Linked DNA regions of Macaca fascicularis. The protein of the gene in region 1 purifies or fractionates together with the protein of each later gene. This does not show direct contact. Links are inferred from orthologs where the notes say so. Each region holds a gene or a part of one and is shown in the gene's direction. Other genes may lie near its edges.

Region 1 (16,578 bases):
CACCCATCCATCTATCTCCACTGCCTGCCTTCCCCCTCTTCCAGTCCTTCCCCGGGCCTGGGCCTTGGTCCACCCCGATTCTGGCTCCCTGGCCCTTTAGCAATGGTTTGGTCTCTGCCTCCCTCCCTCGCTGATGGCCCCAATCACCTTCTTCTTCCTCCAGGATTTGGGAGGCCCCCGGTTTTCCTCTTCCAGTCCCCGCCCCTCAATCCCACCCGGGGGGCTCCAGTCTGGCCCCATTGCTACCTTCTGGGCTGCGGCCTCCATACCTGCTCCGGTTTTCCTTCCCCCAAACCTACACTCTTCTTTTCGCCTTCAGCCTCACTTCTCCTCCCAGGCGCCCCTCCTTATAGCCGTCCTCCCCCTTCCCCTGTTCCAAACCTGGCCTGCTTCATCCCCCTTCTCCATCCAAGGGCCCCAGGTTCCTGGCACCCCTCCCCTTCCCCTTGTCCTGCTACCCTGGGCTTCTCCGCCTTTCGCTCCGCCAATCCTCCCTGTCCCTTGTCCCCCCACCCCAACCTTCCTGCACCAAGCCTCCCCAGTTTCTCCATCACCGTACCTGGCCTGCCGGGCGCCGGCCCCCCCATGCCGGGCTCCGCCCGGAGCAGGAGGGAGGAGGAGAGACAGAGACAGACCGGGGGGAGCGAAGCTGGGCCCTGCCGCAGAGACAGCCCCGCCTCCGGGTCCGCCCCCAGACCCGCCCCCGGCCCCAAACCCACCCTTCCACACCCTCCAAGGACGGAACGGGAGCGGCCGTGCGGCGCGGGGCCGCGAGGCTGGGGCGCGGGGCGCGGGAGCCGCGGAGCCTACGGGGACAGATTCGGAGGAAGGTCGTGGGGCGCTGGGGGCCCGGCGCCAGCCCGTCGCGGTCTTGGGGTGTCTACTCCTCGCCGCCCCTCGCCCCCTGCCCAGCCGGGCGGTGCTGGGTTCGGTCTCCCGGGCCCCGGCGGAGCGGCGTGCAGCGGCGCCCCCCAGCGGCAGCCTGGGGCCCGCGCCCCCGCCCCCGCCCCCGCCCCCGCCCCGTGCACCCCGTGCACCCCGTGCACCCCGTGCGCCCGGCGCGCCCCGGGTCCGCACCCAGCATCGGGCCGGGGCCGAGGCTGCGGCTGCGGGGCCCGGGGTGCAGTGAGGCGCCGAGGCCGCCAGGGGGTGCCGCTTTCCGGGCCGAGGGGCTCCGAGGGAACTGGACGGGAGGCGGCTCAGCCCAGCAGGGGGCGTGCTCAGGCGGCCGCGCCCCCTTTCCCCGCCGCCCCCCCTTTCCCCGCCGCCCCCAGGTGCCAGGAGAGCACCCGAGTTGGCTCGCGGGGGAATCGGCCGCCTCCCCCTGCAGCCTCCCGGGGGTGCTCGGATCTCCTTCCATCGTCTGGGCTCAAAGCCGTCCGCCCCCGTGGTCCGAGCCCTCCTCTCATGACCTTTGACTCCCCCAGCGCCGCTCGCAACGACCAGGGTCGACCTCTGAGTGTGGCCACCACCCTGGCACTGTCAGGGGGCCGCTGCGGGACGTGACCTCGACCTCCCCGCCCATCGCTTTTCTCATCATCTCCCCTAGAAACAACTTTCTCTGAAATTCCTTGGGCGCACAGCTCTGTAGCGGGGGTAAATCAGCCCGAGAAGACCTCAGTTGTACCTTCCACGGGCTGGAAAATGGGCATGGCAAAGATAGGCATGGCCTAATCCCTGGCCTGCGAATGCTACTTCCCATGGCAGCGTCTTTGCAGACTTGCTGTGTGGCTTTAGGCAGATCGTGCAACCTCTCTGAGAGATGCTTTAGTCCAGGGATGTCCACTCTTTTGACTTCTCTGGACCACATTGGAAGAATAATTTGTCTTGGGCCACACATAAAATACTCTTAACACTGGCTGGGCACGGTGGCTCACGCCTGTAATCCCAGCACTTTGTGAGGCCGAGGCTGGTGGATCACCTGACATCAGAAGTTTGAGACCAGCCTGGCCAACGTGGCAAAACCCTGTGTCTACTAAAAATAGAAAACATAAGCTTGGCATGGTGGCGTGCGCCTGTAATCCTAGCTACTCGGGAGGCCAAGGCAGGAGAATCGCTTGACCTGGGAGGTGAAGGTTGCAGCGAGCTGAGATCAGACCACTGCACTCCAGTCTAGGGGACAGAGTGAGACTCTTGCCTCAGAAAAAAACAAAAAAACAAAAAACCCAAACTACTAATGTTTTAAGAAAGTTTACAGATTTGTCCTGGGCCACAAGCTGCCGGTGCAGTTGGACAAGCTGGCTTTAGTCCATTCTTTGTTGGCAGAGGAGGGGTAGTAAAATAATACCAAAGTGCCTTGTAAATTGTAAAGGGTCCTACATATTAAAGGCTATTAAGAATGCTCCCAGGGGAGGGAGATACTAAAACACTTAAAACCCATTTCACATTTATACCTTTAGTATGATTAGTTTATACGTATAGGTCGGGAGCGGTGGCTCACGACTGTAATGCCAGCACTTCGGGAGGCTGAGGCGTGCAGATCACTTGAGGTCAGGAGTTCGAGACCAGCCTGGCCAACATGATGAGACCCCCCCATCTCTACTAAAAATACAAAAATTAGCTGGGCGTGGTGGCGGGTGCCTACAATCTTAGCTACTCGGGAGGCTGAGGCAGGAGGATTGCAACCTGGGAGGCGGAGGTTGCAGTGAGATGAGATCATGGCACTGCACTCCAGCTTGGGTGACAGAGCGAGACTTCATCTCAAATTAAATTAAATTAAATTAAGACATAAAAATTTATGTATGTATTCACTCAACAAACATTTCTGCAGAGGTCAGCAATGTGCCAGGGCCTCTAGACTCAGATACCAGTGCCTGAGGCAGAGAAAGGGATTGCCCAAAGATAATTTTTTTTTTTTTTTTTTTTTTTGAGACGGAGTCTCGCTCTGTCGCCCAGGATGGAGTGCAGTGGCTGGATCTCAGCTCACTGCAAGCTCCGCCTCCCAGGTTCACGCCATTCTCCTGCCTCAGCCTCCCGAGTAGCTGGGACTGCAGGCGCCCGCCACCTCGCCCGGCTAGTTTTTTGTATTTTTTTAGTAGAGACGGGGTTTCACCGTGTTAGCCAGGATGGTCTTGATCTCCTGACCTCGTGATCCGCCCGTCTCGGCCTCCCAAAGTGCTGGGATTACAGGCTTGAGCCACCAGGCCGGCCCCAAAGATAATTTTTGGATAGTTTGTAGCAAGTCAGCAAGAAGGAAGGAGGGCCTGGGGACGGAGGGACCAAGGCCATGTTCTGAGTGTTGCTAGAGGAGAAGAGGTTCTGTGAGGGACAGAGGGATGCAGTCTGGAGGGGTAGGGAGCAGGTGGGAGGCTGCTTCCCAGACATCACTACTTGGGAGGCTCACAGACCTGGGCTATGGCAGTCATTGTTACTATGGCTTAAGGGAGAGAAACAGGAGTGTGGATGTTTCTAACAAAGAGATAAAGAACAAATACATAACGAGGGTAGGTATTCTATTGTTTTATTTTTACCTAACCCTAAAGAGGGGTTAGAAATTTCCCTGAGGCCAGGCACCATGGCTCACGCCTGTAATGTCAGTTTTTTGGAAGGCCCAGGTGGGAGTATCATTTGAGGCCAGCCTGGGCAACATAGTAAGACCCTGTCTCTATGAAAACTAAAAAATTAGCCAGGTGTGGTGGAGTACACCTGTGGTCCCAGCTACTAGGGAGGCAGAAGCAGGAGGATCACTTGAGGCCAGGAGTTCAAGACGACCCTGGGCAACATTGCAAGACCCCCATCTCTACCAAAAAAAAATTTTTTTAAAAGAAATTTAGCCAGGCGTAGTAGTGTGTGTCTGTAGTCCCAGCTACTTGGTAGGCTGAGGCGGGAGGACCAACTGAAGCCAGGAGTTTGAGACCATACTGGGCAACATGGTGAGAGCTCCCATCTCTACAAAAATTTAAAAATTAGCTGGGTGTGGTGGCGTGCATCTAAAGTCCTAGCTACTTGGGAGGCTGAGGCAGGAGCATGGCTTGAGCCTAGGAGTTCCAGGCTGTGGTGAGCTATGATCACACCACTGCACTCCATCCTGGGCAATAGAAAGAGAGAGAGCGAGAGAGAGAGAGCACCTGTCTCTAAAAAAAATGTGGGGGAGTGGTTGGGGCAAAGGGAAATAGTATAACATCCAGGATTTGGTTTCAAATAGTCCAGCAAAATACAGCTGGCCCCCACATGTCATTTCATTGAATGTCATTTCATTATAACGTTGATGATTTTTTAAAAATTAATTTTGGGTTGGGACCACCATCCGTGTGGAGTTTGCATGGTCTCCCCATGTCTGCATGGCACGTTTGAAAATTTTCATAATAATCCACTTTTTTTTTTTTTTTTTTTTGGTGAGACATGGTCTCATTCTGTTGCCCAGGCTGGAGTGCAGTGGCACAATGTAGGCTCACTGCATCCTCAACCTCCTGGGCTCAAGAGATTCTCCTGCCTCACAGCCTCCTGAGTAGCTGGGACTACAGGTCTACATCACCACACTCAGCTTTTTTTTTTTTTTTTTTTTTTTTTTAAAGACGGTCTCGCTCTAATCGCCAGGCTGGAGTGCAGTGGCACGATCTCTACTCACCGCAACCTCCGCCTCCCGGGTTCAAGTGATTCTCCTGCCCCCTGAGTAGCTGGGACTACAGGCGCATGCCACCACACCTGGCTAATTTTTATATTTTTAGTAGAGATGGGGTTTCACCATGTTGGCCAGGATGGTCTCAATCTCTTGACCTCGTGATCCGCCCGCCTCGGCCTCCCAAAGTGCTATTTTTTAATTTTTTGTAGAGATGGGGATCTCGCTATATTGCCCAGCTGGTCACAAACTCCTGGGCTCAAGGGATCCTCCCACCTCAGCCTTTGAGTAGCTGGAATTATAGGTGCACATCACCATGCCCAGCCAATTTTTTTTTGTTTGTTTTGTAGAGACGAGGTCTTGCTATTATATCGTCCAAACTGGTCTCAAGCAATCCTCCTTCCTTGACCTCCCAAAGTGTGGGGATTACAGGCATGAGCCACCACCGGGGTCCGGCAATAATCCACTTTTAAAAATAAGGAATGGGGGGAATAATAGTACCTTCCTCATGCAGTTGCTGTGAAAACCAAAGGAGAATGACCGCCACAGCCGCCCCGCAGCAGGGACTGGGCACTTCTGGGTGGGCATCCAGCACACCTCCCGGCCTGTGCCTTCCGTTTCTTCTGTGTGTCTCTAGGCCAATGGCAGCAACTGACTACAAGTAAGGGAATCCCTCGCCTCCCTGCAAGCTCCTCCCCTTTCTCCCCGAGCCCCGCCCTCTGCAGCCCCTGCCTGCAAGAGTGGGGCTGGGCCCGGCAGGTGTGGGGTTAAGAGAGTCTGTTTGGGGCCCCCAGGAGCAGCAGCCTAAGCAGTGGCTGCAGCAACTGCAACAGCAGCGGCTGTGGCAGGCCTGGCCCCGGGCCAGCTGGCGGGAAGCCCCAGGAGGGAGGGAGGGAGGAGGAAGGGGAGGAGGAGGGGAAGGAGGAGGAGGAGGAGGAGGAGAGGAGCAGTCAGCAGGCCGAGGAGGCAGGACTTCCTGGTGTGGGGGTTGTCAACAGCTCAGAAGGAGAAAGACGGAGAGGCAGAGACCCAGGGGAGCGGAGGAGCGGAGACACGGACCCAGCGGGGCCACGCGGGAGGAGACTCGAGACACCCACTCGCTGGCTGCCACCGGGAGCAGCGGGGGGCTCGGCCGCCCTCTCCCACATCAGTCTCCAGACCCCTGGGGCTTCAGCGGCCGCTCCTGGGCTCCTCGGAGGAGCCGCGGGTTCCTTCTTTTCCGGAGAGCAAACTTTCCTCGGAGATGCCTCCCAGGATGAGCTGAGGCCCCCGGAGAGGACGGGGCAACCTCTGATCGCCGCCTGCGTGCCCCGCCACTCCCCGTGGCCAGAAGGCCCCAGGGAACGCACAGCCCGACCTCTTAGGCGCCGGGACCCTCAGGCTCAGATCAGTGGCCGAGGCCCCAGAGGTAGGATTCGGGGCTGGGTGGGGCGCTGGGGGTAGCCGGGCAGGGCCTGCCCCAGGGATGTGGGAGCTGGGGTGGGCTCGAGGCCCAGGAGAGGTCTCTCTGAGTGGCCGGGCCAGGCTGGGGAGCTGCTTCACCCCGGTTCTCCCAGGCCCTGGAGTCCAAGCTCTTGGGACAATACCCGCCCCCTGAGTCAGAATCTCAGATGAGAAATGCACAACTCTGGAACTCATCTGCCTCTTCCTACTCTGAGCGCCTTTTTGGATCTGGTCCCCTCTGCCCTGGTCTCTGTCATCTCTTGCCTGTCTCCGGGTCTCTGACGGTTTCCCCTTCCCCCACTCTGCTCCCCGGAGAGGAAGCCCCGGAGGTGGCCTGCCCACTGGTTTCACACACACACACAGACACACACACACACTCTCTCTCTCCCTCTTTTTCCAGTTTGCAAACTCAGCTCTGGAGTTCAGCAGCAACAGCAGCAGGAAAAACCTGCCCGTGCTCCCCCCTCCCGCCACCTCCCCTCTCCTCTTCTCCCCTCACCCAGCAGGCACCCCGGGTTCCCACCAGGCCCTCCTGCCATGTCGGACCCAGACGTCCCCAGGGGCCCGGATGCCCCCACCATGTGGCCCCCTTGTTCCAGGGGTGCCTGAGCCCCTTCAAGGAGTCCCAACCCACCCCCAACCTTGGCCCAGCCCTGAGCCCCAGGGACCATGAGCGGGGGCAAGAAGAAGAGTAGTTTCCAAATCACCAGCGTCACCACAGACTATGAGGGCCCGGGGAGCCCAGGGACTTCAGATCCGCCTACTCCACAGCCCCCCACCGGGCCCCTGCCCCGCCTGCCCAGTGGGGAGCCCAGCCCTGATCCGGGGGGCAAGGGCACCCCCCGGAATGGCTCCCCACCACCTGGGGCCCCCTCCTCCCGTTTCCGGGTGGTGAAGCTGCCCCACGGCCTGGGAGAGCCATATCGCCGTGGTCGCTGGACGTGTGTGGATGTTTATGAGCGAGACCTGGAGCCCCACAGCTTCGGCCGACTCCTGGAGGGAATTCGAGGGGCCTCAGGGGGCGCCGGGGGCAGATCTTTGGATTCCAGGTTGGAGCTGGCCAGCCTCGGCCTGGGCACCCCCACCCCACAGTCAGGCCTGTCTCAGGGCCCCACCTCCTGGCTCCGTCCACCCCCCACCTCTCCCGGACCTCAGGCCCGCTCCTTCACTGGGGGACTGGGCCAGCTGGTGGTGCCCGGCAAAGCCAAGGCAGAGACACCCCCACTGTCGGCCTCCCCACCCCAGCAGCGCCCCCCAGAGCCTGGGACCGGTGAGAGTGCGGGCACATCCCGGGCTGCCACGCCCCTGCCCTCTCTGAGGGTGGACGCGGAGGCTGGGGGCTCAGGGACCAGGACCCCTCCACTGTCCCGGAGGAAAGCTGTAGACATGCGGCTGCGGATGGAGTTGGGTGCTCCAGAGGAGATGGGGCAGGTAAGACCTGGGTTCTAGGGCTCGCCCATCAGCCCTGGCCTAACCTCTATCTTGGGCCTCCCTCCTCCCACCCCTTCTCCTCCCCTTCCTTCTCCCCCTCCTCCTTCCCGTCCCTTCCCCTCCCCTCCCCCTCCCCCTCCTCCTCCATTACTTGTCTATCAGATCAGACAGCCCTCTTCTCTGTGCCTGCCAGGTCACTCTGAAGCCCCTTCCTCCTCCTTCATTTTCTGTCTCAGCCTCCTTCCTGTTTTTCTGCACCCTCTCTCTTTCTCCCTGGCCTCTGATTCTCTGTCTTGGTCTTCATGTAGCCTATAGCATATGTGGCCCCCTCACCAGGCCTTCTTCTGTCTTGGTCTCAGCCCCTCTGCCTCTAGGTGATGAGGGTGGAGGCCTCAGCTGGGTAGCTGGGTCCCTGGGGGAGGAGCTGCCAGGATTTGGGGAGGAAAGGTAAAAGGTAGGCCTTGCGCGAGGCTAGTCTCTGCACTGCAGCCCCATCCTGAATGTAGGGGTCTTTCTTTTCTCCCAGCCACCCATCTCAGTCCTACCTCCAGCTTTGCTGTAGGCCAAGTGTCACTGAGAAATTGGGTGGGGGGAACACCTCTCAGGGATGGGGAGGGGGCTTGCTGGTTGATCCTTTTCACCCCCCAGTTGTCTGTCTCAACTCCCTCCATCTGAGCCTCTCTGTGATTGATAACTCCAGGGTGACCACCATGGAGTGGGGGAGAAAAGCCCCAGAAGGAGTTCAGTCCCATACTCTTTCTCCTTCCTGTCTCCAAAAGAGGAACAAGTCCGGGCTGGGGGGGCAGCATGCCTGGGTCCCCGTGGTGGGGGTGAGCAGCCAGAGACAAAAGGGTGGGATACTTCTGTCCTGTGGGGAGAATATAACACCTCGGAGGGCTGGGGAAAGGCAGGGAGTGTGAGGATGCGAACTCTTTCCCCTTCCTGGCCTTGGGCACAAACCACAGTATAAAAATAACCTGGGACTGGATGTCTGGGTCCTGTCAGGACCGGTCAGGACTGGCTCCCCCCAACCCCCTCCTGGCCTCAAGCTCACGTCTCTCGTGAGGCCCCTTCCTACCACTCCCCACCCCCTCCCCGCCCAACTCTTCTTGAACTCCTGCATTCAGCACCCACCCCAGGGGAGAAGATGCTGTTTCTCTTCCTGTCCTGTCCCCAGACTCTTCCAAAGCAAACCCCCTTGGCCTCCAGCTTCCCTGCTCTCTGTCCTTAAGCCTGGCCTGAGCTTCTCTTGGGGCCACAGACCCTGCCTGTCTCTCTCCAGTGCCCCCTGCTCCCCAGCTTTCCCCCACCTCCTGACGGTCTGCTGTTTGCACGTAACTGTTTTGCTATTTCCCTGCCCAAAAGTCTGTCTCCCTTCCACATCCCCTCATGCCTCTTCTCCCTCTTAACAGAAGGGAGTGGTGGAGAATGGCCAGGGGACACCACCTGGGCCCCCTTCCTCTGCTCTGTCCCTCTAACCACCCTGGACTCTCTGTTCTTGGCTTTTCTGAGAAGCTGGGGCCTCCCGGGGCCTCACAGAGGCGTCTTGTCATGTTCCTGTCGCCCCCGCCCTTTTTGCTGCCGCCCCCAGCGCCTGTTGGGCTATGCAGGTCCACGCCCAGGCTCCGCCTCCCCCCAGCTCCACAACCAGCCCCCGCCAACCCCAGGGCTGAGCGCAGGAGCAGAATTCCACCTGAGTCCGAGAAGTTTGAGAGGGGAGGCGAGAGTGAGGGGTGGATGAGGGGATGGAGGAGCAGTTTCTGAGGATCCATTCATTCTACAAATAGCTACTGAGCAAACTGACCTTCTAGCCGGGGAGAGACACAATAAATACTTTAATTTCAGATAATGTTAGGTGCTATAAAAAAAATGAAACAGTTCAGTGGACCAGTGAATGATGGGGAAATACCTCTCTAAGAGGTGACATTGGAGTCATTTTAAGAAGGCAGCCTGGGTGCAGTGGCTCACACCTATAATCCCAGCACTTTGGGAGGCTGAGGTGGGAGGATCACTTGAGGTCAGGAGTTCAAGACCAGCCTGGCCAACATGGTGAAACCCTGTTGTCTCTACTGAAAATAGAAAAATTTGCCAGGTGTGATGGCGGGCGCCAGTAGTCCTGGCTACTCAGGAGACCGAGGCAGGAGAATCACTGTAACCCGGAAGGCAGAGGTTGCAGTGAGCCAAGATCACATCACTGCACTCCAGCATGGGTGACAGAGCGAGACTCCAGCAAAGGCACAGGCTGGGAGCGGTGGCTTATTCTCCCAGCACTTTGGGAGGCTGAGGCGGGAGGATCACTTGAGCCCAGGAGTTTGAGACCAGCAGGGACAACATACTGAGACCCTGTGTTAACAAAAAATAAAAAATTAGCCAGTTACGGTGGTGCGCGCCGTAACTGTCCAGCTACTCGGGTGGCTGAGGCTGGAGGATCGCTTAAGCCTGGGAATTCGAGGCTGCAGTGAGCCATGATTGTGCTACTGCACTCCACCCTGGCTGACAGAGTGACTGTCTCAAAAAAATAAAATAAAATATAAAAGAAGGCAGACACTCTGAGTAGCCTCTGTTTAGGGTCCCGGCCCAGGGGGAGCAGGGACTTTGGAGTCTATTCTCGGTTCTTCCATCAGTCCCCCGCTCCTCCCACTTGGGAGACCCTCTGTAATGTCCCATACACCACTCCTCCCATTCCTCAGGTTTACCCATTTCTTGCTTCTAGTACCTGCCTAATGCCTTCTCCAGAGCTGGAGAAGGGAAGGGCTGTGGGGACAGGACTCCCGGGTCCTCCAAAGGGAGTAGAGAGGTGGAGAGGGAGGAAGGCTAATAGGCAAGTTATAAGGCGGCTGATTCCTTTCTCTTCTCTTTTCACGTGATGGTTCCTACCTCTCCGCCTCCAGGTGCCCCCACTCGACTCTCGCCCCAGCTCCCCGGCCCTCTACTTCGCCCACGATGCCAGCCTGGTTCACAAATCTCCAGACCCCTTCGGAGCAGTAGCAGCTCAGAAATTCAGCCTGGCCCACTCCATGTTGGCCATCAGTGGTCACCTAGACAGCGATGATGATAGGTAGGTGGGCTTCGTGGGGTGGTGGGGCGTGGGGTTCAGGTTCCCTGCCCAGCACCTGGGATGGCTGTGAGAAACTGCCCGGTAGGCATCCTTCCCCCAGGTTGAACTTGGAGAGGAACTCTTAGACAGAGAAACCTGGCCTGGGCATAACCACTGCACACAGATGATTTCGGACCCACTCCCTCTCTGTGGAGAGGGCTGGGTGGGACTCCCTGGCTCAGAACTGTCAGGTCACAGACTTTTTTAGATTCTGAAGGGACTCATTGTTGTCAGATTCCAGAGCTCTTGCAGATTTAGAGATCATCTGGCCAACCCCAGGAACCCACTGGCAAATGCGTGCTCTAGACAGAATAGCAAATCAGGCCGGGGCACAGTGGCTCCCACCTGTACTCGTGGTGCTTTGGGAGGCCCGGGCAGGAGAATTGCTTGAGGCCAGGAGTTCAAGACCAAACCCTGGCAATGTAGCAAGACCTCATCTCTAAAAAGAAAAAGAAATAAAATAGCATATATATAGATAGATATAGAGATACACACACACACACACACACACACATACATATATATAAAGGAAGTAGGCTGGGCATGGTGGCTCATGCCTGTAATCCCAGCACTTTAGGAGGCTGAAGTGGGCAGATCATCTGAGGTCAGGAGTTCAAGACCAGCCTTGCCAACACGGTGAAACCCTGTCTGTACTAAAAATACAAAAATTAGCCGGGTGTGGTGGTATGTACCTGAAATCCCAGCTACTCAGGAGGCTGAGGCAGGATAATCACTTGAACCTGGGAGGCAGAGTGTGCAGTGAGCTGAGATCCGCACAACTGCACTCCAGCCTGGGTGACAGAGCGAGACTCTGCCTCAAAAAAAAAAAAAAAAAAAAAAGAACTGAAAAAGAATGGAAATCAGTTTCGTCTCAGTTCCATCTCCCTCTTCCTCTCCTAACAAAGGACTGGGACTCCCTAACAGCACGTATGGACTGTGACATCCGATAGCCCACGGGGTCTACTTTAGTATCCTAGGATTTCTAGAACCGAGAAAGCGAGTCCCTAAGATGGGCCAGCTAGGAACAGAGTCAGAGCTAGGAATGGCAAAGGGGCAGGGACGGCACTGCAGAGAGCGACTTTCTGGGGTTCACCTTTTAGGGGAAAGTGCTCTGTTGGGTGGGTTTTCAGGGCCAGGTGTCACCGTTCCTAAGAAAGCCAGCAAGCTGAAAAGGGAGGCCCAGAATCGTGAGTCAGAGATAGCCAGGCTGCCTGCTTCTGGCCGGGGACTGATAGGAACCCGGCAGAAGGGCTGGGGAGTCACCGTTTTTCTTTTGGAGGGAGGAGTGGGACTTCCGTAGGAGGTTTTCAAGGGGAGGGACTTCCTGCTTGGAAGGAAATTGGGGGTGGGGCTTCGAGAGTGGGTGAGTGGGTGCCTGAGGGACCTATTCCAGATGGGAGTTGCTCCTTCCTCTCCTCCCCAGATCCGGGGCCGCTCGCGGGATCAGGTACTTAAGCCCACCACTGACAGGGTCCTGCAGCCTCGGGGAGGAGAGGGACCTGGCAAAGGGGGTGGCCAGGAGCTAGTGTGATGGAGGGCAAGGGTGCCAGTGCTAGGCGGGGCTGGGCGGGGCTGGGCAGGACACGGTGGCTCCTGCACGCCCCATTCCCACTCTCAGGAATGTGTGAGGTGTGAGGTCGGCCAGGGCTGGGAGAGTCACCTGCCCCCATCACTGCTATTCTCAGCATTTCCCGCCCTCTCCCTCTGCCACTTGGGAGGTTCCCTGGCTAGAGGACTCCCCGTCCCTCCCCCACCCCTGCTGAGTTCACAGCCCAGCCTCCTGCTGTCTCTGTCTTAGAGGATTCAACCTCCTGAGGCCTCCGTCTTTCCCCGTCCCCTCCCTCCCTGCCTTCCTCCGTCCCACCCCCTCCCTGCACACCCCAATCTGACCAGTCCGGTTCCCAGCCTCCACTTCACCCTGCTGTGCTCCAAGGCTCTTGGGGATCTGTCCCAGCCCAGCCCCTCAAGCCCCACCCTGCCAAGCCGGCGGGTTTGGGTTGGGCCACCCCCTGCCCCCTAGGAATGGGACGTGTAGACCCCACCTCTCCTTTCTGGTGTACACAGAGCTGGCAGAACAGGGTCCCAGTGGCCTGGGACCTCCCTCTTACGAGGGAAGGTGGGCCGAGATGTTCAGTGCCTGGATCACAGGGAGGGAGTTGGAGATGCCTGACCAGTCCCTGAATCTGGGGATGGGCGAACAGAGGGTGCAGGTGAATCTAGAATGCTCACATGCCCTGGGACTGGAAATCCTTGTCCCCTCCTTGCAGGTGGCAGGTAGTTGGTTAAGTGTGAAGAAGTGGATGGAAGGAATTGGGGGTGGGGGCAGTGGCCGGCCTACGAGATCCAGGCATTATAGGGAATGGATCCCAGGGACTTGGGAAAGAAAAGATACATTTATTTATCCAGTACCTCCCCTGGGTCCGGTACTGCCTTATCCCTTGTAATCCTAAAAAGCAGTTCCGTTCTCCCACTTGCCAGATGAAGTATCTGAAACTCAGAGAAGGAGGGTTTTTTGTTGTTGTTGTTGTTGTTGTTGTTGTTGTTGTTTTTTGATGGAGTCTTGCTCTGTGTCCCAGGCTGCAATGCAGTGGCACAATCTTGGCTTACTGCAACCTCTACCTCCCAGGTTTAACTGATTCTCCTGGCTCAGCCTCCCGAGTAGCTGGGACTACAGGTGCCCGCCACCACGCCCGGCTAATTTTTGTATTTTTGCTAGAAACGGGGTTTCAACATGTTGGCCGGGCTGGTCTCAAACTCCTGACCTCAGGTGATCCACCCACCTCGGCCTCCCAAAGTGCTGGGATTAGAGGCATGAGCCACCATGCCTGGCCAGGAGGATTTTAGAAACTTGCCCGGGGCCACCCAGCTAGTTTAAGTGGCTGGACTACAGTTGGAGCCTAGGTCCAACCCCAAAGCCACTTTCTCCACTATCCTACTGGGATGCCTGTGTCCCAAGCAAAGAGGTGGCGGCAACGGTCTATGATGTCCTTTCTCTCTAGGACAGGGACAGCTCTCCCAAGCAGGGCAGGGAGCCAAACCCCCTTCCCCCTCCCTGACCTCCCCAGCCCCGCCCCAAAGACACCACAAATCCGGGAGAGCATAGAGACAGGGCAGCTGGTTGACACTTTCCTGGTCCCAGGCCTAGGCCCTGGGGGATCCCCTGAACTCACTGGCGAGTATGCAGGGCTGGCCCCTGTCCCCAAGATCCCAGGCTCCCCATTTCTCCCAGGTGTCCTGCTTTTTTTTTTTTTTTTTTTTTTTTTTTTTTGAGACGGAGTCTCGCTCTGTCGCCCAGGCTGGAGTGCAGTGGCCGGATCTCAGCTCACTGCAAGCCCCGCCTCCCGGGTTCACGCCATTCTCCTGCCTCAGCCTCCCGAGTAGCTGGGACTACAGGCGCCTGCCACCTCGCCCGGCTAGTTTTTTGTATTTTTTAGTAGAGACGGGGTTTCACCGTGTTAGCCAGGATGGTCTCGATCTTCTGACCTCGTGATCCACCCGTCTCGGCCTCCCAAAGTGCTGGGATTACAGGCTTGAGCCACCGCGCCCGGCCAGGTGTCCTGCTTTTTATCCCATCTTCATGTTGAGGCCGTTTTATTTGACCCTCAAAGAGGAAGACCAGCTTCTAGGGCTGTCCCTGCCCCGGGACCGAGAGTCCTGCAGGGCTAAGTCTCCCACTGTGCATGTCACACACTGCACAACTCCAGGGGGTGCTGCTCATATTTGAAATCACAGTCAATGCTGGAAGTCACGACAGTTTTCCGGAAGGTGGCATTAAGGGTCTTGAAGAAAGGGGCATTTTCTAATCCACACAAACTTGCTTTTGGGCTTGTGGTGGAGGTAGGTCCTGTCTCAGCAGCCACTACTTTCCTCCCCTGGACCCTGTCAAAGAATTCTAGCACAGTGCCCACAACCCCTCACTCTGGGGTCCTAAAGGGGAAGGCCTGCGTTGCCAGAGTCCTGGTCCCTTGAAGTGTGTGTTAGAATGTTCCAATGGAGGCTGGGCGCGGTGGCTCACACCTGTAATCCCAGCATTTTGGGAGGTTGAGGCGGGCGGATCACGAGGTCAGGAGTTGGCGACCAGCCTGGCCAACATGGTGAAACCCCATCTCTACTAAAAATACAAAAATTAGCTGGGCGTGGTGGCGCATGCTTGTAATCTCAGCTACTCTGGAGGCTGAGGCAGGATAATCGCTTGAACCCGGGAGGTGGAGGTTCCAGTGAGCCGAAATCGCGCCATTGTACTCCAGCCTGGGCGACAAGAGCAAGACTTAGTCTTAAAAAAAAAAAAAAAGCCCCAGTGGAAAGTGCTGTCAGAAACTCTCAGGCGCTAGACAAACAGAAGACAGTCACCTATTGGCCAACAAACGTTTATTGTTGTATTATTCCTTTATCTCTGGCGAGAACGAACACCTTACTTGACATCTTTACCCCTGAGTCTCCGCCAAGCAGGGCCCATGTTCCTATCCCTAGGTATCCACCCGCTTTGGTCTCTGTGAGTCTGTGTAATGTGGTGGAGGGGGGGTATTGGGTTTTCTGTGGTGGCTCCATATCCACTCAGGTGTTGCTGATTGAAATAGCTCAAAAATTACTTTGACCCTCCTGCTGGCAGACCCACCACCCCGCCTTCAACTTCTCCTCTCCCACTGCCCCAGGAGTCCCAGATTCCCTTCCCCCACCCACCCCATCCTGCTCACTCAGGCCTGGTCACCTCAGTTGCTCTACCTGTCAGCGCGTTCTGCACCCAGAGCTTGGATGAGAAATGGAAAATTCCCAGCTCCCTGTGCTCCCTTCCTGGCTGCAGGACCTCATCCAAGGGTCACCTTGAATTGAGTGCTGATCCCCCTGCGGGGAAGCGAGTCTGAGCTGACAGCCAGGAGGGAGAGCTTACAAGGGAGCCCAGGGATGTGGCCTGCAGCCCCTTGAGGCCCCTGCTCCGAGCGGGGCCCAGCTGGGGGCTGGAGGGCAGGACTGGGGATCCCACCACAGCACCAGAGTGCAGGGGTACAAGGGTAGGTCTGGAGCCTCAGGGCAAGAGCCTGGGGCCAGAGTGGTGGGAGAGGGAGCCTTGGAGGATGAGGTCGGCACAAGAGCCTGTGCAGGTCCTGGGCGGTGAGAGTGGGGCTTGAGGGAGAGCCAGGTTCTGGGACCAAGAGCCCAGCGTCTTGGAGCCAGCCTGGAGCCTGGCCCTGGGGGCTGTTGAGCCAGGCCTGAGTCGCCCTCTGGTGGCCACTTCCCAGACTGCAGCCAGACCCTGTCACCTGGGACTCCCACCTCTCTTCCAAGCCCTGTTGCTCCTCTTCCCAATGTCCCATCTCCAAGCTCACTTCCCTTCCTCTCCTCTGAGCCCTCGCTTCCTCTGAGACCCCAGACCCAGGTCCCAGGCCCATAGGCGGTTTTTTTTTTTTTTTTTTTTGAGACGGAGTCTGGCTCTGTCGCCCAGGCTGGAGTGCAGTGGCCAGATCTCAGCTCACTGCAAGCTCCGCCTCCCGGGTTCACGCCATTCTCCTGCCTCAGCCTCCTGAGTAGCTGGGACTACAGGCGCCCACCACCTCGCCCGGCTAGTTTTTTGTATTTTTTAGTAGAGACGGGGTTTCACCGTGTTAGCCAGGATGGTCTCGATCTCCTGACCTCGTGATCCGGCGGTATTTTTTTTTTAAGACAGAGTTTTGCTCTTGTTGCCCCGGCTGGAGTGCAGTGGCCTGATCTCGGCTCACTGCAGTCTCCACCTCCCAGGTTCAAGCGATTCTCCTGCCTCAGCCTCCTGAGTAGCTGGGATTACAGGCACCTGCCACCACGCCTGGCTAATTTTTTGTACTTCTAGTAGAGCCAGGGTTTCACCATGTTGGCCAGGCTGGTCTTGAACTTCTGACCTCAGGAGATCCGCCTGCCTCAGCCTCCCAAAGTGCTGGGATTACGGGCATGTGCCACCATGCCTGTCCCTTTTTTTTTTTTTTTTTGAGACAGGATCTCACTCTGTCTTCCAGGCTGGAGTGTAGTAGCACGATCTTAGCTCACTGCAACCTCTACCTCCCGGTTCAAGCAATTCTCC
Region 2 (15,672 bases), on another chromosome or scaffold:
TCCTGACCTCGTGATCCGCCCGCCTCGGTCTCCCAAAGTGCTGAGATTATAGGCGTGAGCCATTTTTTTTTTCAAATAAGGCTGTGCTCCTAGGTACTGGGGATCAGGATGTAGACTTTTGGGGGATTCTATATGACCTACCACAGAACATGTGTGTCTGGTTATGGGGGTGGAGAAAGGGGAGGAAATTCATTGAGATTCTTCTGCTCAAGCCTTACCTCTTCAGGGGCTTCTCTGGACCACACCCCCCAAAACGCACCCCTGCCCACCCAGAGATCCATTCAACAAGTGTTTGCTGAGGGCCTGCTGCGTGCCAGGTACTGTCCTCGCACCAGAGAAAGAGCAGGGACAAAGAGAAGACACTCCTGCCCTGTGGGAGCTCGAATAGCAACAGGGACACAGACAGTGAAGAAGAGAGATGAGAAAAACCCAGATGCAAGTCAGGTGGGGTGAATGCCCCAGGAAAAGTCAAGTCAAGCAGGGGAAAGGGGATGGGGACTGTGATGTCAGGATTCGTGGCCAGGGCAGGCCTCTCAGGAAGTGACCTCAGAGGATGTTTGGGAAGGGCATTCCGGGCAAAGGTATAACCAGGGCAGAGACCCTGAGGGGAAGTGCCTGTCATGTCCAACGGCACAGGGCCATGTACTTGCGGTGGGCTCAGCTGAAGAGGGCAGGGGACATGAGGTAGGGTAATGGGACCAATTACTGGGCCTTCCTGTTTAGGCCCTCGTGCCAAGTGAGAAGGGACCACTGGGGGCTACCCAAAACCACCCTCAGGTTCAATGGTTCACTGTAAGGACTCACAGAACTCAGAAAGGGTACCATTTATTACAGCAATGGATGCGTTAAAATCAGCAGTGGCAAGGACTCACGGAACAGAACCCAAGAGAGACCAGCACAGGTCTGCAGGTGTCCACACCCACTGCAGGCATGCGGACAGTGCTCAACCTCCCAGCACGGATGAGCACAGCATGCCACCAGCCAGGGAAGCCCTCTGTACCGCGGTGTCCAGGGTTTTTATTGGGTTGGTCACACAGGTATGGCTGACCTCCCAAGTCGCAGACTTTGGCCTCCAGCCCCTGCAGAGGTCAGGCTGATGCCACATGGCCCAAAGTCCCCCGGTAGACCACGTTGTTAGCACAGACTAGGGGTGTCCAATCTTTGGACCTTCCTGGCACACATTGGAAGAACTGTCCTGGGCAACACACTTAAATAAAATACACTTAACACTAACAACAGCTGATGAGCTTTAAAAAAAAATCTCAACAAGAAAGTTTACAAATTTGTGTTGGGGCCGGGCGCGGTGGCTCAAGCCTGTAATCCCAGCACTTTGGGAGGCCGAGACGGGTGGATCACGAGGTCAGGAGATCGAGACCATCCTGGCTAACACGGTGAAACCCCATCTCTACTAAAAAAATACAAAAAACTAGCCGGGCGAGGTGGCGGGCGCCTGTAGTCCCAGCTACTCAGGAGGCTGAGGCAGGAGAATGGCGTAAACCCGGGAGGTGGAGCTTGCAGTGAGCTGAGATCCGGCCACTGCACCCCAGCCTGGGCAACAGAGCAAGACTCCGTCTCAAAAAAAAAAAAAAATTGTGTTGGGCCGAATGCACCCTCTGGGCTGCGGATTGGACAAGCTTAGCATAGACTATGGTGTGGCCTAGGTAAACACAGACATTCAAATCAGGCGGAACATTCCAAAGGCTTAGAGGGTGTCTCTCAGGAGCTGGTCAGGGCAAGTTTCAGGGTGGAGAATTTGAACACCCCAAACCTTTACTGCAGAAGGCCTCAGCAGGATCATCTGGCCTTGGTGGAAGCCACACTCAGGGGACCTGGTGACCAAGGCTGGTCAGGAAAGAGCGACCACAGGGGACGCAGCAGGGCCAGATGCAAATCTGCCAAAGAAAGAAAGAGGCGTCCCAAAGGGACAGCACACGGAGGCGCGCGGAAGGGAGGAGCGGAGTTCCAATTTGGGCTCCAGAGAGAGAAGGTGAAGGATGAGGACCCGCCCTGAGAGAGGGAGAAGGCCACGGGAAGGCTGTGGCAGCTGCGGGCTGAAGGGGGTTTTAGGTGAGAATCGGGGACAGCCCCGGTGGTCAGCGTGGCTGGAGGGTGTGCTCAGAGCGGCCTCCGGAGGGAGCGGCCTTGTGAGCCGGGTGGGCTCCCCCATCATGGTTCCACTGTCCCGAGCCAACCGCGGAAAGGAGGGGCGCGTTTGAGGAGAAAAGAGAAAATCGCCATCCTGGAAGGTGAGAAGATGGGCTTGTGGGCGGGAGGAGGCACCGGCGGGCGGGCCACGGAGAGATTTGTGGCCCCCAGTGAAAGTCAGCCTGGGTCAGCCTGCTGGTGGGCCTTTCCCCCCGCCCTCGGTGTCCCACCCACCTGTCCCAAGGGGGTCGGCCGGGGAATGAGTGCGTGGCCAGGAGAGCGGGGCCCCGCTTTCGAGCCCGCGGGGACTCCTGCAGCTGGAGGGTGTCGTGGGCTTGGGGGACCCCAGATGCCCCGGGTCTTCCCCCAGATCCTAGGAGAGCAACCGCGAGAGAAGTGGGCTGCTCCAGGCTCCGGGTGGCCGCGGGGCGGGGCCTCCACGGGGGCGGGGATTTGGGGGCGGTTCCCCTGCGCGGGGCGGGACTTCGAGGAGGCGAGGCGGAGCCTGGGGCGGGGCCTCGCGGAGGACCTTGGGAATGGGCGGGGGCGGGGACCAAAACGGGGCGGGGCTTCGCGGAGGTAGGGCGGGGCTTCGCGGAGGAGGCTTGGGGGACGAGGAGGGGACAGGGCCTGGGGCGGGGCTTCGCGAGGCGGGGCCTCCGAAGGGGCGGGGCCTGGGCGCGGCCGGGGTTCGGCAGCTGGCTGGGAAGCGGTGCTCTGGCTCGGGCTGGCACACGCGGCTCGGGAGCGGCGCGCCGGCTCCGCCTCCGGCCCCCATCTGCCCGCCGCGCGCCCGCCCCTCCCAATTCCCAGAGCCGGGGCTGGGGCTTGCGGCGGCGGCGGCGGCGGCGGATCTAGGCTGGGCTGCTGGGCGCGGGGCCAGGGCGGGCCGGGAGAGGCTGCTCCGGCGGTGGATCGCGCGGAGGGCGGTGGCCTGGGCCGGCCGAACCATGGCGGCCCCTGAACCGGCGCCGAGGCTGGCCCGGGAGCGGGAGCGGGAGGACGAGAGCGAGGACGAGAGCGACATCCTGGAAGAGAGCCCGTGTGGTCGCTGGCAAAAGCGGCGGGAGGAGGTGGGCGCGGGGGTCGGGGGCACTGGGGTGACACCGCCCTCCCAGAGCCGGAGGGGCCTGGAGGCTGCGCGGGGCGTGGGGGCGCTGGGAGAGCGCGGCGCGCGGCGCCTGGAAACCTCTCCACGGTCCCTCGCGGCCAGCGAATCAGCCACCCCTGGACCCCTTTGGCCTGGCGCCCGCCCTGGGATTCCCTGAGGGCCAGTCTCCTCCTAGGACCACCTCCCCATGCCTCTGGACTCAGCGGCTAGGTTCCTGGGGATCCCCCTCGACCCCTTGAAACCTGCTCCAAATCCCCTTAGCCCAGCCCTTGGATAGGAGCCCTTGGATAGGAGCCCTTGGCTCCTAGGGGCAGCTACCCTCCAAGCCCCCACCTTCCCGCAGAGTGGCTCAGGTCCTACAGTCCACGCTTGGGCCCACTGGAAAGGAATAGACAGGGACCAAATCCTCACCCGCAACCTGACACACACCAGGGCACACATAACCCCTTATTCACTCCCCAGGTAAACCAGGGGAACATGCCAGGGCTTCAGAGCACCTTCCTAGCCATGGACACGGAGGAGGGGGTAGAGGTGGTGTGGAACGAGCTCCACTTCAGAGACAGGAAGGCCTTCGCGGCGCACGAGGTGAGGCCGCTGCCCCCTCCTCATCCTGCCTGGGTGACCACCTGCTGACCACCTAGAGACCACCCTCCCTCCCCAGGAGAAGATCCAGACTGTGTTTGAGCAGCTGGTGCTGGTGGACCACCCCAACATCGTGAAGTTGCACAAGTATTGGCTGGATACCTCCGAGGCCTGCGCGAGGGTGATTATGGGCGAGGCCCCGGGCAGGCAGAGGCCACAGCCAGGTGGGGTGGGCATGGGGACGAACGCGCAGCTGGTGGAAATCCTGAGCTCGCACCCTGCAGGTCATCTTCATCACAGAGTACGTGTCATCAGGCAGCCTCAAGCAATTCCTCAAAAAAACCAAGAAGAACCACAAGGCCATGAACGCCCGGGTATGGGGAGCGGGCTGGGGCAGCCACGGGGACAGGACGGGGTTGGGGCAGCCTCGGGGACTGGGATGGTGAGGGGGTGCCCAGTGGCCTCGGACAGGGACTGGGCGAGGATGCGGGGCGGGCTCCGCAGGCCCAGCCGCCTCTCCTGCGCCCACCCGACGGAGTCGTGCGTCCGCCGCCAGGCCTGGAAGCGCTGGTGCACGCAGATCCTGTCCGCGCTCAGGTGAGGGCCTGGGCTGGTCCGGGCGCTGCGCTGCTGAGCCCCCGCCTCCCCAGAGCCTCCTGACCGGCTCCTCCTACTCTCCCCTCCCCAACGTCTGCAGCTTCCTGCACGCCTGCAGCCCCCCGATCATTCACGGGAACCTGACCAGCGACACCATCTTCATTCAGCACAACGGCCTCATCAAGATCGGCTCTGGTGCTGGCGGGACAGGGCTGGGCGGGGGACGGGGCAGGGGAAGGTGCCTGCAGCCAAGGGCAGAGGAGTTCTGATGCTCCAGCAGCTAACTCCGCTCTTTCTCCCGCCCCTTGGCAGTGTGGCACCGAATCTTCTCCAATGGTAAGTGCGGACTCTGGGGGATGGGGTCCTGGAGAGGTCCCGCCCGCTCAGCCTTTGCGCCCTCCACAGCGCTGCCGCATGATCTCCGAAGCCCCATCCGCGCTGAGCGAGAGGAACTTCGGAACCTGCACTTCTTCCCCCCAGAGTACGGCGGTGAGTGGCGCTGGGTCTGGGCGCCCCGTGCCTGCCCTGTGTGCTTCTCTCCTACCCGTCCTGTGTTCTCTCCTGTTCAGAGGTGGCCGATGGGACCGCTGTGGACATCTTCTCCTTTGGGATGTGTGCGCTGGAGGTACTGCCCCCGCCCTCCACCTTGTGCTCTGCCCTCCTCCTAGCTGTGCCCTGCCTGGCTCACCTGTGTGGTCCCTTCCCCATGCCTGACCTGGCTCTGTGCCCCAGATGGCTGTGCTGGAGATCCAGGCCAACGGGGACACCCGGGTCACAGAGGAGGCCATTGCTCGTGCCAGGCACTCACTGAGTGACCCCAACATGCGGGTAAGCAGCTTGCCCTGCCCCTCCCCAGCTGGCTCATTGTGCTCAGCTAGGCCAGCAAGGTGCTCCAGGCAGGCCTGGGAGAGCATCACAGTTTATGTAGCTGAGAGGTATATCAGCTGGCTGCACCCCCGCAAAGAGGACCTCAGTGGGAGCACATACTGGTTCCAGGCCTGGAGGCCCTAATGGGTCAGCACATTCTAAGGACAAGAAGGCAAGAAAGACCCTCCCTCTGTGGCTGCTATCACCATGCCCGTTTTGTAGATAAAGAAACTGAGGCTCAGAGGAGATGAGTCCTTTGCCTGAGGCTTTAGAGTAAGTGGTGGAGCCAACATCTGCACCTGGGTCTGCTTCACTCCAAGTCCTTGACTTTAAGCTTCTAGGAGGTGATGAGGCTCCAGCTTGTGGGGGGACATGGTGGGTGCCAAGCAGGCAAAAAGAGGTATGGGATGGAAGCTGCATCCATAGCCCCCTCTGCTCGGAATCCAGACTTAACTCCATGGCCTCAGGAGATGGGGGTGCCTGGATGGGGCTGGTAGGGAGCTGGAGCCGGGCTGGGCACGGATGTGGATAGAGTGGGGAACCAGCAAGGTCATCTCCAGTGCTGGGCCTGAGCTGAGCCGATCAAATGACCATGGGTAGCGAGAGGCAGAGCTTGCAGTGAGCCGAGATCGTGCCACTGCACTCCAGCCTGGGCGACAGAGTGAGATTCCGTCTCAAAAAAAAAAAAAAAAAAGGACCACAGCTTGCAGGTGTGACTTAAAGATCATGGCTCCTACTCCCCATGATTTTTGGGAGGTTGAGGGAAGCAGAGCATGGTGCTCCAATCCCAGAACCCAGCTGTCCTCAAGCCCAGAGGGCCAGGTCCTGGCCTGGCTGCTGCCAGGACTCCTCCCTACGGGCATCCCTGCATGTCCTGTATGTCCCTGAGGAGGAGGGACGAGGAGAACTCAGGGACCACCTCTCCTCGAACTGTGGGGCCAGAGCAGAGAGCTCTGCACACCACCAGCCTCTCCTCCCCATGCCCCAGGAGTTCATCCTTTGCTGCCTGGCCCGGGACCCTGCCCGCCGGCCCTCTGCCCACAGCCTCCTCTTCCACCGCGTGCTCTTCGAGGTGCACTCGCTGAAGCTCCTAGCAGCCCACTGCTTTATCCAGCACCAGTGTGAGCAGCAGGCCAGCCCAGGGGGTGACCGGGGAGGCTGCGGCTGGGATGTGGAAGGGGCCCTGCAGGACCCACGGCCTTGATGCTCCTGTGGCTGCAGACCTCATGCCTGAGAACGTAGTGGAGGAGAAGACCAAGGCCGTGGACCTGCACGCAGTCTTGGCGGAGCTTCCCCGGCCCCGCAGGCCCCCGCTGCAGTGGCGGTGAGCAGTCAGCACCCAGAAACCTCCCCTCCCCGTGCCTCCCCTCCCTGCGCCCCTGACCAGCCCCTCATGTGCCTCCCACCCCCATGCCAGGTATTCGGAAGTCTCCTTCATGGAGCTGGACAAATTCCTGGAGGATGTCAGGTAAGAACTGATGTAAGGTTGGGGGCCAGGCAGCTGTCAGGCCTGAGCCCCCAGCCACCCCGGTGTGTCTCCAGGAATGGGATCTACCCACTGATGAACTTTGCAGCCACTCGGCCCCTGGGGCTGCCCCGGGTGCTAGCCCCACCCCTGGAGGAGGTCCAAAAGGCCAAGACCCCGACGCCAGAGCCCTTTGACTCTGAGACTAGGAAGGTGAGTCCCCTCTTGCTGCTCAGTGCCATCCCTCAGACCTTCCAGCAGCCTGATAAGAGATTCCTTCTCCCAGGGCCTGCTCCCCACAGCCCAGCTCTCCTCCTGGCTGCCAGAGACCAGATCCAGGCTGACCCCCTTGTGGGGATTATGGGGGTTGTAGGACAGGCTGGACACTCTCCTTTTCCGGGAGGCTCCCTGTCCCCTCAGATCCTCCCCTGCATCCTGCTGCCTGCCCTGAACCTACTGCAAGCATCCTTCCTCCAGAACTCGCCCAGGCTCTTCCACCCCGCCAGTACTCTTCCCGCCACCCCCCACCTCCCACCCCCCACCCTCCCACCCCCACCCTCCCACCCCCCACCCTCCCACCCCCACCCTCCCACCCCCCACCTCGTGCTGATTCCCGGGTATCTATGTCCTGGTGTCTCCTCAGACTTTTCCTGCAGCGCTGCCTCCTGGCCAGTGGCCTCTCTTGGTGCAGTGCAGCCAGAATTTATGTCCTAACAGGCAAACTGCCTGCTCCTGGCTGCCCGCAGAGATCATGGGAGTCCTCAGCTGATGCCCAGGCGCTGGGAGGCCTGGTCCTGCAGGCACCCTGCACTTCGGTGCAGTCGCATCCCACTCAACCTCCCTTTCCCCGTGCTCAAGTTCCCTCTTTGTTTAAGTTGTTCTCTCAGCAGTGAAAGCTCCTATTCAGCCTTCAGTACCCAGCACCTAATGTCGACTCTTCTCGAAGCTTTCCTTAGCTCACTAGGCCACTAGCAGTGAGATGGGCTCCTCTTAGAGATTCCCCCCTTTCCAATCTCTGCTGTCCCTTCCTGGCCCCTCTGGGGCCGCGGCATGTGGTCTCGCTGCTGGGTCTGTGAGTCTCAGCCTTCCGCCGCTGCAGGTCATCCAGATGCAGTGCAACCTGGAGAGAAGCGAGGACAAGGCGCGCTGGCATGTGAGCGGGGCCTGGGAGGGCAGCGCTGCTGTGGGGAAGGCGGGAGCGTGGCAGACCCCCAAACCTCCAGCCGACCACGCCCCGCCGCCTCCCCAGCTCACTTTGCTTCTGGTGCTGGAGGACCGGCTGCACCGGCAGCTGACCTACGACCTGCTCCCAAGTAGGCTGGGCAAGGGACCTGGGCGGTGGGCGGTGACCCCGGGCAGCGGGTGGCGCAGCGGCCTCATGCCTCGCCTTACACCGTTGCCGCAGCGGACAGCCCTCAGGACCTCGCCTCGGAGCTTGTGCACTACGGCTTCCTCCATGAGGTGCGCTGGGCGGTGCAGCGTGGCCTGGCGGAGGGGGCAAGCGGGGCAGGCTGTGCCCCTCCGTCCCCCATGCCTCCCTCCTTCCGCAGGACGACCGGATGAAGCTGGCCACCTTCCTGGAGAGCACCTTCCTGAAGTACCGTGGGGCCCAGGCCTGACCCAGTACCCCAGCCCCTGGGGACCATGCCGGGGTGCTGCCCAGGCAGGCCATGTGGGGGAGACCCCAGCACCGCAGGGCTGCTCTCCTCCGTGTGCCTGGGAGCACAAAGGCCCTGGTAGTGAAGAAACCCCCGCCTCCTGAGAGTGGGGCTGACCCTGCCTCGGGCGCCGCGGGGGTGGGGGGTGGGTGTGGGGGAGCCGTTAGGCCTCCCAGGTCCTTAGGTTCAGGGTTGCCCTCAGGACCCCTTCCCATATCCTCCATTCTCCACCCTGAGTTCCTACCCAGGCTGCCTGGCCAGGGCCACTGCCTGCTCAGCATGCAGGAGGCTGCCCTGCAGGGAGCCCCAGCTCTGGGGCTTGGGGGTGAGGGTCAGCCCTGGACAGACCTCTGCCCAGGGAACTGCTCCATGGGGTCTGGGAGAGCAGCCATCCCTGGCTGGCACCATAGACCCACACAAGGAGCCTGCACAGCAAGCCAGCAGTGACACACCTGCAGGTGTCACGCATGGCACTGGGCACAACAGGGACCTGGCAGGAGAAACAGACCACAGAGAGGTCTGGAGTTGAGGCTGTCATCAGCAAAGCCCCTGGTCCCACGCAGCTCTGCCCTGGAGCCACCTCTTTGACCCTTTACCCACCCCGAGACCAGAACCTACAGCCCCTCTACAGATCTTCTCTGGCCACTGCAGCCCCTCTACAGATCTCCTCTGGCCACTGCAGCCCCTCTACAGATCTCCTCTGGCCACTGCAGCCCCCCTACAGATCTCCTCTGGCCACTGCAGCCCCCCTACAGATCTCCTCTGGCCACTGCAGCCCCCCTACAGATCTCCTCTGGCCACTGCAGCCCCTCTACAGATATCCTCTGGCCACTGCAGCCCCTCCAACGGGCTTTTTCTCTCCTGCATTCCCTGGCCTGGAGGGGTCAGGGCCCCCACATCCTCTCTGCTCCTCAGATTCACACCCCCTCCATGTTACCTCCCGCACCTCCTCCCTGGGGCAGCTGCTCCCTGGGCCTCTGAGGATGTCAGCTCCTGGCTCCCTGCCTCTCTCCCACTGCACTCCTGGCTCAGTCTTAGAGGTTTCTATGCCCCCATAGATTCTACCCCTGCCTTCCTGGCCTCTTGATTCTTGGCTTGCCTCTCCTCCAATTCCAAACTTAGTGAAATGGCCTTAAACATTTTAAATTGTATGTATAAATTTAGCACAATCATGCCTTTTTAAAAGCATTTCAAATGTCAAACCAGGAAGGCACACCACTGTATTAGTTCTATACTGCTGCTGTAAAATTTACCACAAACTTAGTGGCTTAGAACAACACAAATGTATTGCAATTCTGTAGGCTGGAAGTCTGACTACAGGTCTCACTGGACTAGAATCAAGGCTGGCAGGCTGCCTTCCTTCCTGGAGGTTCTAGGGGAGACTCTGTCTCCTGCTTCTTCAGGCTGCTGGCAGAATCCACATCCTTTCAGTGGCAGGGCCAAGGTCCCTACTTTCTTGCTGGCTGTAAACTAAGGCCACTTCCAGCTTGTAGAGGCTGCCTACATTCCTTGGCTCTTGGCCTCCTCCTCCATCTTCAAAGCTAGCAGTTTCAGTCTGTATCACGAAACATTTCTCTGGTTCTCTGCAGACAGGAAAGGTTGTCCCTAAGGACTCATGAGATTAGGTTGGGCCCAGCCAGATAATACAGGATAATCTCCCTCCTCAAGGTTTTTAATATTAAACACATCTGCAGGACACATTTTGCCATGTAAACTAACATTCACTGGTTCCAGGGATTAAGGAAGGAAACTCTTTTGTTGGGGAAGGGTGGCATTCTGCTGACCACAGCACCCCAACCAAAAGCCAAAAACCAAAGCAAGACTTACTAATGCATATCAAATAAATTAAATGTGCAAAATAGTGAATCTCAGTTATCTTAAATATTCCAATACTATTTACAAAATTATTCTAATGCTCACACCTTCCAACTCAAAATTAGTAATCTAAAATAATCTCCATATCCTAGATGGAAACCCTCATGTGAAACTGTCTGATTACGCACGGTCCTAAATGGTTTCAGTGGCAAACACATAACATTGTACTACTGATTAAACTGAACTTAAAAGCATCAATACTACCATTGCTGCACTTAATCATGTCTCTGTTGAATTCTTCCTTTTATCTTTTCAGAATTTTATGTGTATTGTTTTTAAAGTAGAATGGGTTTTTTTTTTTCTTTTTGAGGCCAATGATAAATAATAAAGGCAGGCTCCTACTCTCATCCTCTCCAAATTCAACTCTCTTAACTGTTTCTTCAGGCATTTTGAAATCCATGTTTTTCAAAATCATGAGCTTTTAGTTCTGTTTATTAGTTGTTTCACATTAGGTGTCCCCAGCCAGCATCCTCTGGGAGGAGGGTGGTCACCCGCCTCAGTCTCCTGATGCGGCATCGTTCTAGTGTGACGGGCATCACAGCTGCAGGGTGTTATTACAGCTTCATTACCACGCGTCACAGGAGAACAGGGTGTTCTAGGATGGCATTTCTTGCACAACTTTTTGTTTTCCCTGGAGTTAATAATTGCCTATTTTTTGTTTGCCTGGTTTTCTATATGTGTTTGTCATCGATTCATCTTTAGACTTTCCTGCAAAAGCATGAGCATCCTCTCACAGCTTAGGACTCATCACATAACTGACTGCTCAGTTTCTTCTTTTCCTGGAGCCCCCACTATGCAAGCCCCCTGCCCAGGCTACTTGTTCTTGGACTTATGGTCCAGTTGTCAGCATGGGTTAACTCTTCACCAGTGTCCTGGAATGCTTTCCTTTTCCTTCATTTGCTCTGTTTGAGAAGGACCATCCTCCAAGTTTCCTGAGAGGGTGCATAGGAAGTTGCGGAGTCTTTACCTGTTTGTCTTTATGCTAACCTCACATATGCTTGACGGTGTGACTAGTTACAAAAAGCTTGGCTTGGTTGAAAATCATTTATTCCCAGGATTTTGAGGGTGTCGTGTCATTTTCTTCTAGTTCTGAGAACTCTTGTGCCTTTCTGAATTCTGACTCTTTACCTATGATCTCTTCTGTTTTATTCTTTGCCCCATTACTTCGGCAATTTTCAATGATGTGTCTTGATATACAACTTGCCTTTCACCCATTGTTCAGGAAACATGACTGTTTGGTTCTAGGAAATTTTCGTGATTTATCTCTTTGTTGATTTCTCTCATTTCCTTATTTTCTGGACAATTTATTTAGATGTTGGGTTTCTGTTTTTTGGGTTTTTATTTTTTGTTTTTGTTTTTTGAGACAGGATTTGGCTCCGTCACCCAGGCTGGAGGGCAGTGGTATGATCACAGGGCACTGCAACCTCCACCTTCTGGGCTCCAGCAATGCTCCCACCTTAGCCTCCCTACTAGCTAGGACTACAGGCCTGTGCCACCATGCCCAGCTGGTTTTTTAAAATTATTTTTTGTAGAGATGTGGCCTCGCTATATTGCCCAAGCTGGTCTTGAACCCCTGGGTCCAAGTGATCCTCCTGCCTCAGCCTCCTGAAGTGCTGGAAAGGCAGGTATGAGCCACTGTGCCTGACCTGGACTTCTCTTTTGAGATGCAGTCATGGTGGTGGAAACAACACAGGCTCTGGAGCCATTCTACTGCTCCCTGCCTTGTGATGTTGCCCATCAGTAAAAATGGGGATAACAGCTGTACCCATTGCATAGCACTGGGTTGTGAGGATCCCATGAGTGAATGTGTGTAAGAACAGTGCTGGGCACCATGCACCCTGCATGCACGTTATTGTCAAGGGAAGCTGTTCCCAGAGGGTGGTGCCTGTGGCTTCCCCTGGTGGTGGTGGTGGACCAGCCCCCCACCACCCATCCACCCCCTCCATTGTGGAGGCCTTGTGTGCCAGGCTGGCCCTAAGGGCACCCACCTGTGTTACTGCTATTCTGTTTTCCAGCTATCTGGTTCTGTCATTATACATTCTGGAAGACTTCATCCTAAAAAGCCTATTGAATTGCTCTTTCCCCTCATGTTTTATTTCTAAGAGCTCGTTCTCATCCTGAGTGTTCTTTCTCTATAGCCCCCAGTTCCTTTTTATTGCCTGTAATACCTCTAATATCTCTGAGAATGGCATTTTAGTTTTCATTTTTCTTTGGCTTCCTTTATTGTCTCTGTTTCTTCTGAGTCCCTTTGCTTCTTTCTCAGGTGTCTGATGATCCTGGGCTGTCCAGTTGCTTTTAAGAATGAGATGCTTTTAGTGGCTGGGGCTTATGGCCTGGTGAGCTTCGAGGCCAGGGATCTGGCTGGGCCATTCTACTGGGCAACCCTCTGCCCCTAGCTGCCCTGCCAGTCTTTTCTTTTGAGCTGGGAGCTGCAGCAGAAAGGAGCCCTCCTCTCTGAGGAGGCTGATGGCATGTCGGTGGTCAGACCCAGCCCAGGGGGTGGAGGTAAGGCAAGGACCCAGAGTCTCACTTATTCCCAGGCTTTCAGACAGAGCCTTGCTTGGGCAGGGCCTCAGAGCTCCTCTCCCAGAGTTCACGTCTCAGCCACTGCACTGCCTGCCAGCCCCGGTGGGTATGGACAGAGGTCTGGGGTTTCCTTTCTGTAGCTGTGCTTTCACCCACGACCCTCAGACACCGGCCTCCATGGCCGCGTGGGCTGGAGTAGCTCTCACTGTCCATCTTCCTCCAGCTCTACAATATCCCAGCTCTTTGCCCTTGCAGGGTTTGTCTTTATAAAACCCCTTTCCTATAATTTCAGAGGGTTTCAGGAGGAAGGCGGGGAATATGCTGCCCTATTTAAGTAAAGGTGTCTGTATTAAATTCTAAACGTTCCCAGGGTTGAAAGGAGGCCTGCCCGGGATGCCTTGTGGCCTCAGGCACTGAAGGTGCCTGAGCTTACAGATGTGGCTTCTTCAGATGACCAAGTTAGGGTCTCGGGACTGGGTGCAGCAGATGGCAAATGTCCAGGACGGGCAGCTTTCCCAACAGTACTGATAAACACTTTGGGTCATGAAAGCCAGTTCAGGTACTAAGGGGGCCTGTAGCCTGCGGGCCTAGTGACTGATGTCAGCCAGCCTACGGTCATCTGTTCCCTGGAAGGAGAAAAGGCTGCCAATTGAACGAGGTTTCCCGGCCCCAAGGATGTCACGACGCGGGGACGAAGCATCTCACGACGTGAGCCTGAAACACACGGGCCTTTCATCACCCGAGACTCCTCCAGTCCAGGAGGGTCCCGCTCTTTCCCCTGCCTCGCGGAGGAGAGCCTCTGGACGACGCCCGCGACGGCGTTTTCTCCAAAAAAGGCAGAGAAGAGAAGCTCAGTAGTGGCCGCAAGGGCGAGGGGCGGCGAGGGCCACCACGCGCTCCCGCGTCGGCCACGCGGCGAGAAAAGCCCGGCTCGTGTACCGCGGCGCGCGCCCCCGGACGCCCAGGTTGCACAGACCCCTCCCCTCGCCCGGCCAAGGGCACACCCCTTCCGTCGCCCCTCCCGCGGGCGTTAACCGTCCCTCCCCGCCCCGGAAGCGCGTTCTTACCTCCTTCCTCGCGAGAGTACCGTGCGCCGGCGCCCAGATCGCGCGAGACCGCGGAAGGAGCAGGAGTGGGTGGTGCGCGCGGCGGCCGCGACGGACGCAAGATGGCGACGGCGACCATAGCTCTCGTAAGTGAGCCCCCCGTGACGCGGGCGGCCCTCAGCTTGCGGGGCCGGGTCGTCGGCCCAGCCTGGGCGCGGAGGGCCTCCCAAGAACGCGGCGGTCTTCCCAGGTCCCGCGCGGAGTCCCTTGTGTCCCCGGGTCGCGCGAGGCGGGGGCGGGGCGGGTGCGCGCGGGCGGCCGGCTCGCGGCCTCAGCTTCCGGTCTGCGGACCCCAGCTTCCGGCGGGGCGGGGCGGCGCGGGGGCCCGGGCGCTGCATGTGGCCCGGGCGGGCGAGCCTAGCGGGGTCGCGTTCCTACCCGCTAGGTCCGGCAGGCGGGGGTCGTCGTCCTCCCTTTGCCGACGGGGATGTGCGCCGTGGTCACGACGGAAGCGGGTTCCTGGGGATGATGCGTGGGCCTTCGGGTTGATAGGATCAGAAGGGGACGGGATCTGTAGAAAGGGGTCTGCAGCTCAGAGCATGGGGTGGCCTTGGCTCGCTACGCCTGCAGCTGTGAATTCGTTCTCCGGTGCTGTAGAGTGATATGGTTATCTCTATTCTCTTGTCTCCACTTGGGAAAGAAGGACGTGCTTTCTCATCCTACGGTTTTTGAGAAATCGCTCTGTGGGAGGATTTGGGGACACAATGGGGAACCAGACAGGCGGTCGGAGGTCTGGTGCCCACCAGAAGTAAGTTCCCACCCAGGGTACCATTTGCTGGGCTCCCGAGGGAACTGCGTGGGCATCCAGAAGAGTGAGTCGCCCCCTGCTCTGCTCAGTGCCCACCTCCCCGGGCAGGGCAGGCGTTATTAACGTAGGGGGAGAACATCCATGCACACAACACATGCGCGATGAAGTCTGGTCTTTCTTCCTCACCACTTAGCTTATAGGACTTAATCCCGTTTTGGACCTTTCTTAGCCACAGTTTACCCATTTATTACTTGCTACTCTCCCCCCAGCCCACATCCAGCGGGATGGGATAAGGTCTGTTTGAGAAGACAACTTGAGCAAGTGGCTGAAGGCTGGACTGACAGGACCAGGGAGTGTCCTTAGACTGCCATTTCCAGGCCCCATACTAGGGGGAGAGAGGCATTTGCACAAGATACCTAGCTTGCGAGGGCAGCCCAGTGTGTGATTCACAGGGCTGGCTAACTCCACTTTTTCTATCATGTGTTTTCTCTTGAAGCCACAGGAGTAAGTGATCTTTGAGGGGCACTCCAGAGGGAAAGGAAATAAGGGTTAAGAACCTGGTGACTGTCTCCAGGAAGCAGAGAGTTGATGGTGAAGGAGGAGGAGGCTCAGAGACAAGTACTGGACACCTGGGAAGGTGGAGGAGGAGAATGGATGCCTCACTCCCCAAGCATCCGCAGAACAGCGCCCTGTGCTCATGAGGGTTAAATGGGGGCTCAGGTCTGCTGTGGCATGGTGCCAGATAGTTGGTGTCATTGTTGAGTTGGACGTGGGTCATAACTGACGCCATGAACAGGTTCTCAGTTGGGGTGTTTGTTGCCATCCAAATTCTGTTGGGGTTAATACATGCTTTTTCATTGCATCAGGCTCCAGGAATGAGCTGTAGCCTGTGGTCTAACCCATTCCTCTTTTCATCACTGGGATGGAAAGGCTTCTAGAAGGGTTATCTGTTCCCCACCATCCTGGTTGGGCACAGTGATGAGAGCCTGCCC

The links.
Region 2: the proteins of TSC22D4 (region 1) and NRBP2 purify together in Homo sapiens (affinity purification with mass spectrometry; 3 studies listed by BioGRID and IntAct, counting the BioPlex papers as one, with this or other methods). This does not show direct contact. The link is inferred for Macaca fascicularis from reciprocal best matches to the Homo sapiens genes TSC22D4 and NRBP2.

What each region holds. Positions count from the first base shown.
Region 1 is NC_088377.1:49,051,546-49,068,123, reverse strand, and holds the start of TSC22D4 (TSC22 domain family protein 4), read left to right. Parts: upstream 1-5,559; 5' UTR 5,560-5,966; intron 5,967-6,401; 5' UTR 6,402-6,670; coding exon 6,671-7,432; intron 7,433-10,323; coding exon 10,324-10,490; intron 10,491-16,578.
Region 2 is NC_088382.1:153,494,307-153,509,978, reverse strand, and holds NRBP2 (nuclear receptor-binding protein 2), read left to right. Parts: upstream 1-2,831; 5' UTR 2,832-3,095; coding exon 3,096-3,218; intron 3,219-3,718; coding exon 3,719-3,841; intron 3,842-3,917; coding exon 3,918-4,019; intron 4,020-4,122; coding exon 4,123-4,212; intron 4,213-4,394; coding exon 4,395-4,435; intron 4,436-4,535; coding exon 4,536-4,630; intron 4,631-4,747; coding exon 4,748-4,771; intron 4,772-4,840; coding exon 4,841-4,924; intron 4,925-5,004; coding exon 5,005-5,060; intron 5,061-5,167; coding exon 5,168-5,263; intron 5,264-6,290; coding exon 6,291-6,423; intron 6,424-6,523; coding exon 6,524-6,626; intron 6,627-6,719; coding exon 6,720-6,770; intron 6,771-6,844; coding exon 6,845-6,980; intron 6,981-7,866; coding exon 7,867-8,080; intron 8,081-8,172; coding exon 8,173-8,330; coding exon of another isoform or gene 8,331-8,386; 3' UTR 8,387-10,519; downstream 10,520-15,672. UniProt on the Homo sapiens protein: May regulate apoptosis of neural progenitor cells during their differentiation.